Linked DNA regions of Oryzias latipes. The main gene of each other region encodes a partner of the protein of the gene in region 2 in a complex. Links are inferred from orthologs where the notes say so. Each region holds a gene or a part of one and is shown on either strand. Other genes may lie near its edges.

The links.
Region 1: MICOS complex subunit mic25a-like (region 2) and c4h19orf70 share a complex: the UniProt entries of both Homo sapiens proteins name them as parts of the mitochondrial contact site and cristae organizing system (MICOS) complex. The link is inferred for Oryzias latipes from reciprocal best matches to the Homo sapiens genes CHCHD6 and MICOS13.

What each region holds. Positions count from the first base shown.
Region 1 is NC_019862.2:7,384,538-7,388,628, forward strand, and holds c4h19orf70 (MICOS complex subunit MIC13), read right to left. Parts: upstream 2,801-4,091; 5' UTR 2,678-2,800; coding exon 2,649-2,677; intron 2,307-2,648; coding exon 2,150-2,306; intron 1,983-2,149; coding exon 1,922-1,982; intron 1,084-1,921; coding exon 986-1,083; 3' UTR 470-985; downstream 1-469. UniProt on the Homo sapiens protein: Component of the MICOS complex, a large protein complex of the mitochondrial inner membrane that plays crucial roles in the maintenance of crista junctions, inner membrane architecture, and formation of contact sites to the outer membrane.
Region 2 is NC_019865.2:2,332,133-2,335,632, reverse strand, and holds part of MICOS complex subunit mic25a-like, read right to left. Parts: intron 2,374-3,500; coding exon 2,238-2,373; intron 1,810-2,237; coding exon of another isoform or gene 1,804-1,809; exon of another isoform or gene 1,589-1,803; intron 1-1,588. UniProt on the Homo sapiens protein: Component of the MICOS complex, a large protein complex of the mitochondrial inner membrane that plays crucial roles in the maintenance of crista junctions, inner membrane architecture, and formation of contact sites to the outer membrane.

The sequences.
Region 1 (4,091 bases), on a different chromosome or scaffold from region 2:
ACAGCCGCTCTTTAGTCCCCCTCCCTCAACAGCGACACTGACCCCGTCAGGAAAGCTGTGCAGCCGTTGGTTTGATGGGAAATGCATCCTTATCCATTGTATTCTCTCACTGTTGTGTTGTGAGGAGCACTTTATTGTGTAACGTTTACATATTCAGATTCAAGTAAAGGAGGAACTCGTTTCCTAGAATATACTTTTTTTGTTTTAAAAAACTGCAAAATGCTTTAAATGAAGAGGAGATAGTTCTGCTGGTGTGTACATTCTCTGTATGATCATAACAACATCTGTAGTAAACATGTGGACTTCCAGCTAACAGACTATTGTAACCGCCACAGGAATTCTCGTCTTGTACTCTTATATTTGCTTGCAGAAGTGATTTCATCAAACTTAATGTGATGAAACCGCAGTTCTTTAGCTCTTCGGTTCTGGATTTCTCCGTTAAAGTTGCATGAAACAGTGAAACCGTGCCTGAAGTTAGGAAACTTTATTTCTACATGTGGAAATAACGAGATTTAAAACAGACACTAAACATCAGAGCTGGGGAGCCCTGGAGGTTCGGATGCTCAACTGACGCTTTGGTTTCCTGTGTTTCGTGTCAATGTTATGGAACAAATAAAGTTTTTGTGCATATGATTGGTGTTTTTTTTATAGACATTGTCATGACCAGAACTTGAACATGAGACACTAAAGAAGGCATGAAAAGGTCAACTAGAATATTTACAACTTTTGGACATTTAGACTGAGAAAAAACCTTGCTTGGTGGGTAAAATGAGTTGGTTTACAGCAAAGAAGAGGTTCTTTAAATACTTCATTTCCTTACAATAAGCTCAGTCTTCATTACATGCCTCTTCATAAACAACTGCTTTTCTAGGGCTGATTTAGGAGTAGTAATGTGTTACCATAACCTTCCACTTGGGGAGGAACGAGGCTGAACCTCTCCAAAGTGAGCTGTTGAGTGCAAAAGTAAAACTGATACCGGGGGGGTTCACTTGAGGAGGTCTTTCACAAACTGAAACCCCTGAGTCGTCATTTCACTCGCTTTTGTTGGAGCTTCAGAAAGTCTGGAAATCGTCCACCGCACTCCTGCAATTAAAAAGAAACGGTTTTCAGGTCTCACAAGACAAATTTAAGGAAAACTGAAGGCGAAAGCTGATTGAAGACGTGCACACAAACCCAGGTGGCTGCAGATCCTTAAAAAGTCTCATGTTTTGTTGAACTACAATAAAGTCTTGTAAAGCATTAAATTGTCTTAAGGTCCCACTCGGATCATCTGTTGATCTCTTTTCAAAGCGTTCCCAGTGTTCTTATTGCCATTTTTAGTCTAAAAACCTGTCATTTTCCAGGACAGTTTCTGCAGGAGCTCATTTGAAATTCCCCTTTGAGTTGTGGGCGGGACTTTTGGTAAGCCTTCCCCCACTTCCCATCATCAGTCTCTTCAGCTAAATTCTTACGAACAGGTTTTAAATTTCTCATCGACTGATGTGACCTGTCACCCAAAAAAAAAAGAACATTTCTGGGATGCGCTGTGTCATAAGGTTATTAACTGGTGGTAAATCGTTTCACCTCTGCTAGCTTATTAGCTCGTGCTCAGCAGTGTGTGTCTTGGAAATAGGGATTAGTCGTAGTGGTTAAACTTATAAGTGGAAATCTTTATGAAGCAAACTCTGCGGTTTGCTGAAAGACATTTAAACTTTACATAGCAAGGATCATAGCAATGGAATCACGTGTAGAGCAAGAAACCACAGACTCCCAACTCTCTGTTTCTATTTTTGTGCATATAGGGTCTTAAATTTTAAAATCCTTAAATTTCACTTGAGCAAATCTGTAGACCCCCTGCAAACACAGAGGCACAAACTCAGCAGTGAAATGACAAACTGTTTCTCTTATAGAGGAAAACCCAAAAATGTCCGTCAGCTCTTACCAGAGTTCCACGCCTGGACCGGAGAAAATTCAACGTTAGGGATGGTTGGAAGCTGAGTCTGCTGACAGAGAAATAAAAAGAGGAGGTTGTGTATTAGTTAATGGGACCAGTGAAACTTAAGGGATGCATTAATGTGCAGATCTATAACGGTCCTCTTTAACCCCAGGAGAAGTCACCAAAGACCAAACAAACCCAAAGACCTCTCACTCAAACCTAGTTTGTTTGTACCTGAAGACCGAAGTACTTCATCCACTCCTCAATGGCGGGGGGGACAGCGGCTCTGGCCTTCTGTAGGGCCTCAGAACCTTGTTCGCTGCCCCCCAGCAGCCCGGAGTCATAGGCCACATACACAGCCCCTCCCGCTATGCCCACCTTGGTCGCGAGTCTGCAGGTAATCAGAGTCCATCATGAAACGCAGGTCATCAAAGATCGTTGAGACAGAGATGATAACACAAGTAAACATTTTAAAACGTTGGTTTGACAGAGAAACTAAAGGACTTTAGAAACTTCTCAAGACGCGCTGAGTACAAATGAGTAAATTATAAATGAGTAAATTAACATTCAGTTTTGTGGATACAGATACAGAACACATAGTTTATATTAGAGTTAGCTAAACAGGCAAAGAACATTTGTTAGCTTTGCTAGCTAGTTTGATTAGCTAGCTAGTCGGCTAATCCCGCATTTAGCATCACTTCTCCGAACATTTGTAAAGTAAAAATGAACTAACTTCACTACAGGCAAAAGCTTTGTCGCCATGATCCACGGGTAACCGAACTATCCCGAAGCCACGACTGTGACCTGAAAGAAGTCAAACCTAGCAGCTGCACTGAAGGACAAGCCGGATTCTTGTCCTGTCAACCACAGCTGTGTTAATAAAGTTGGATCTTGGAAACTTAGTTCCGCTGCAGAGCAACACATTCGTTCTGCCTCACTTTCTAATGCTTTATTTTATTTAACTTTTTAAATCACAGGTAAATACTTTTTAAATAAAAATGTTTAAAAATTATATCTAAAAATGAAAAATGATTTTTCAAAGGGGTGTGTCTAATGTGAAGTTCACGCCCAAATCGCAAGAAAAACAGTGAAATGGGGCGTTTAACAGATGTACTTTTTTCCATGGGACCTCCCTGAACTTGTCTGAGAGCAGTGTTGCCAAATGCAGCCGTTGTATAACCACAGATCAGCACAATTCCACAAAACCCAGCAGTCAGACCAGTTGCTGCTTTTTCCAAAATGGCTTTTACTAAAGTCTTGATAGTCAGTTTATGTGTAGTTTTTTTAGCTGTCAAGTGGACTTCACCCACTTTTGATCCAGGTGAGCAGAAATCTGTTTCATTTTTTAGTCAGTCTTATTATTTAAGGGTTTGAGGCTCAGGGTGGATGTTAGTGGACCTTCTGGGGCGTGCATGTGTTCCTAAAACCGCATTTTGCAGAAATGATCAGTCATTTTTCGCAGTTGGGTTTCTTTGTATGCTTATTTTAATTAATTTTTAATACTCATTGAATGTTTCCTGTTGCTATCATTAATTTGGAGTTATCTACCATTCACAGATTTGTGTGCCATGGCAACATAACGAGGATCATAAAGATAACATTACCTTTGCTTATTGGCGAATGGGGCCACAGGTTCATGTCTTTACTTGCATATTGAGCTGACTATTCCGGTTTTTTCCCCTTTGCTCTAAATAGTCAGCTCAAACATATATAAATAGGATGAAATTGTGAACATTTCTGCACTGAATTAATTTACCTATGCACAATAATGTTGCTGAGGGTTTACTATTCCCTCTGGGAAAAGTGGGAGTGGAAACCAGGTAAACGGTTAGAATCTGCTTCAGTGGCTGAGAGGCCTGACCTCAGCGAGCGCAGCTTTCATGCAGAAAAGCTGATCAGTCAGTTTTCATGCTATCCTCTGGTAATATCACCATCCTTAACAACTGTAACAAACTCCAGCAGCGCTCAATCAGAGCTCAGGGTCACAGGTTGAAACGTGTTCTGATACTATAGGAGGTTCTGTGAGCCGCTATCTCTTCATGGGGCAATTATAAACGCCGCATGACTGCGGTTGGATCTTTGTACACTTCTGTGTTATCACACATATAAGGACCAGTTGTTATCAGTCAGTTCAGGGTAACATAAATGTTTTTTTAGATCATCATCATCATTTGTT
Region 2 (3,500 bases):
AATCCTTGTTCAGCAAGCTGATTATCGCACTCTGTATTGTTGTACTCCAAGGATAAGCCTCAGTGCCCCTCAGCAACGCAAAGATGTGAGCTGAGACCCGGGTGAGGCGCAGCGATGCGTTGTTTGGCTGCCTGATCAGCAACTGTACCTTCAAACGCCTTCCCAGCCCGAGCTGTGGAGCCACGGGCTCCCAGCATTCTGTCCTCCGGCTCGCCTTCCTCCTCCTGCTGCACTTTTCTCTCTAACTTTCTGTGAATTTGTAACCAGCGCAGTGATGAACAAAGTGGAGAAACCGGCTTTTTTGGTTGAATAATACAACAGTGAGGCACACTGAGAGTTCTGGGATACTGGGAGGGAAAGGCTGCTTTTTACAGAGTGCATGCATAACTCCTGAATCCTCAGTTGTTCCTCTGTAAAAAACTTTAAGGTTGTGTTTTTTTAACCTCAAGCTGACTGCTTGAACCAAAAATCTTTCTTCTTTTGACTATTGAGGATATAAATCACATATAATGAAAAAATAGAGCATTTTGGTGCTCTATCCAGTATCCAAAAAAAGTATTTTAGTTGATCAAATATTTAGAAATCAAACCAAAGTTCTAAGGCTTCAGATTTATTTTTAATTATGTTTCAACAATTTAGGATTAGTTGACAGTATTGAATTCTGTTATGTTTTAATACTGGTTATGTGCCATTAGATTTAAGTTCATGCTGATTGATAAAAGTTTTGTTCAGTCTGATCGCTTTGATGTTTTCATTCTCCAACACTGGACTGATTTTTCTATGAGGGTTTGAACTTTGAGAGTTTAATCAAGAGAGAAAAAAGTGTAAAAATGTTTGTCTGTCCGAGAAAAATGTATAAAGTGTCTAGTTTTACTGCCTTAAATATCTAAAATAATTGTAAAGAAAATAAAGATGACTTTTTTGCCGATTTTGCTCATCTCGGGTTACTTTTGAAAACAAATATCTGATCGCAAACAAAGATTTTTACAAACTGAACACAAGAGTGATTGACAAGATCCACAGCCAATCAGGAAGCTGCTGTGACGTCATCCTAAGTGATACCTTGTAGTTCCTTGACAGAATTCTCAATCCTCACCACGACGATGAGACACAGCAGCTCATTCCAATGCGGTCAGATGAATGCAGTTAAAAAATGCAATTAAAAAGATATAACGTGATGCACGTTGCTTCCTCCTCTTTTCCCCACAATCCATGTCATAAAAGGTAGAGACCAACGCAGCAGTTAAACTGTTGAGCCTGATGTTTAAAACTGATCAGCAAAACGTAAAGTTTGAATGAACCAACAAACTAACAAAGTGCAGGACTTCCAGAATTTCTTTCTCTAGTTGCTTTGCCTCATAATCCCTGACCAATGAGTGAAGAGATTTTATTGCTGTAGTTTTGTAGGCTGACAAGCCTGACAGCAGTCTGACTACAGTCCAAATGCCTTAAGGTTCAGGACTCGATCCGGACCAGCGGACTAGAACAAACGGTTTTCTCCCGCTTAGAGACTTGTTTTGGATTGAAATCTTTTTTAAGTTCAGGAGAAGCTCTGCAACTCACACAAGAACTTTAGGAAATACCAAGAAACTTTTCCACACATTTATGCAAAACACGACCTTTGCTTTTTCCACCAACCGCCACTGAAAGTACTAAAAAGTGAATTCTTTTTTTTTATGTCGATGCTCTTTGTGTTTTTTCCTGCATCTACGCCACATCTTCTTTTGCTACCTTCTCCTCAATTCCTACAGCTGGCAATACTGATGAACTTTGAAGAGGCTTTGCCACCTTTGTGTCTTTCTCCTAAAGCTTCAGAATTAAACAAACAGAGATGTAGGTTTGGTGAGCATCTGGCTGCATGAAGGAAATCAATTCCAAAAAACTAGAATAACTGGGAAACGTGTTATTTCCATAATTCCATTCAAAAAAATATTCTTTTATTGAAAATAGATCAATAGATCAAACCTCTGTCTTTGCTTTTATGCATAAATGCTGATATCTTCAGTTTCATGAGCTGGAACCCAAATTTACGTAAAAAAATAAATAAAATACAAACTTTAACTTTTTGAAAGGAATTGTGGAAATGAAAACACTTTTCCTTATTATTCTAATCTTTTGTCTTTTTTCTTACAAAGAAAATGACACTAATTTTAACCAATAGTGGAACCATGATTGATACTCTATTTTTTGTTTTTTTATTTTATAAAAAAAGAAACACAGACGGAGAAACCTCTCACCTTTCTTGCAGCGTTTATACATTGCAGGTATTCCTTGGCCAGGTCTGAGCACTTTAGGGTCTGGTCTCTGTTGTCTCTGTAACAAGATAAAATCTGAGCCTGCAGGCCAGAACACACTGGAGCTGTACTGCAAGACCTGCAGGAAACACAGAGAAAAACAAAAATAAAGGTCTACTGAGAACAAATAAAATATTTATCCTCCAACTTCCTTGTTGAAGGTGTCAGATTAAAAACTCAAACACTCATTGAAGGAAAATAAAAGGTAATATTTGTACAGAATTGATCCATTTTAATTCAATGACCAACACTAAACCTATGAGTAAAATACATTAAATGGTCACAGATCCCATAGAAACAATTGAAACCAACATGAAGGTTTAAAGAAAGTCTCTTCAGATTCAAACTCTGCAGATCATTGAGGTCTTTGAGGCTTTAGACCAGATATCCCTGGATTGACCTTTACATCTGGGTTTGAATGTAGCAAATGGCTTTAAACAAAAAAAACGAAAAGAAAGAAACACGTCCTTTGTCTTCTAGTTATTATGTACGGCACTAAACTCTGGAACAAGTTTAAATCTAAGAAAAATTCAGAAAAATTCAGAAATAGGAACGATTTTTTCACAATATGGGGTTGAGGGAACTTAATAACATCCAACACTTTCTGATCAATAAGCAATTTATTTTTGTTTTATTAGGTTTAATAGATTAATATTGATTTCGGGAATTTGGTAAAAGAAATTCTGAAGATAATAAGAATTTCGGACTTGGACTGAAAACGTTTTAAAGACCCGCTTCAATGAAAATCTCATTTTTAAAATCCTCTGGGGACATTTTTACCATAATAGATGTTAAGAAGTATAAAGTATAAAATTCTGTTTTTGACTATTTCTTTATTCAAATTGTTGTGAATTGTGAATGCTTTGAAAATACATCAAAATATGATCACAGACCGACTTTAAGAACTTTAAACAGATGTTAAGAACAAAAAAATGTTTTATAAAACATTGTGAGGCGGCATACTTTGAATTAGCTTTTTCTCACTTACTTTTACCCAATCAATCAGTCTTTGGATTCAATAGATTCAATGTATCGTGTGTAAATAGGTCTACTGATGATTATAATCCATATTTAAAACGGCATGATTTGTCTTTTATTTTTTAATCAACTTATGAATTGATATCTTAAATTGGTTTATATTGACATCGGTTTTTTGTATTGTCCTTTTTCCCCCCTTTTTCTTTCTTTATCGCTTGAAATCGGTTA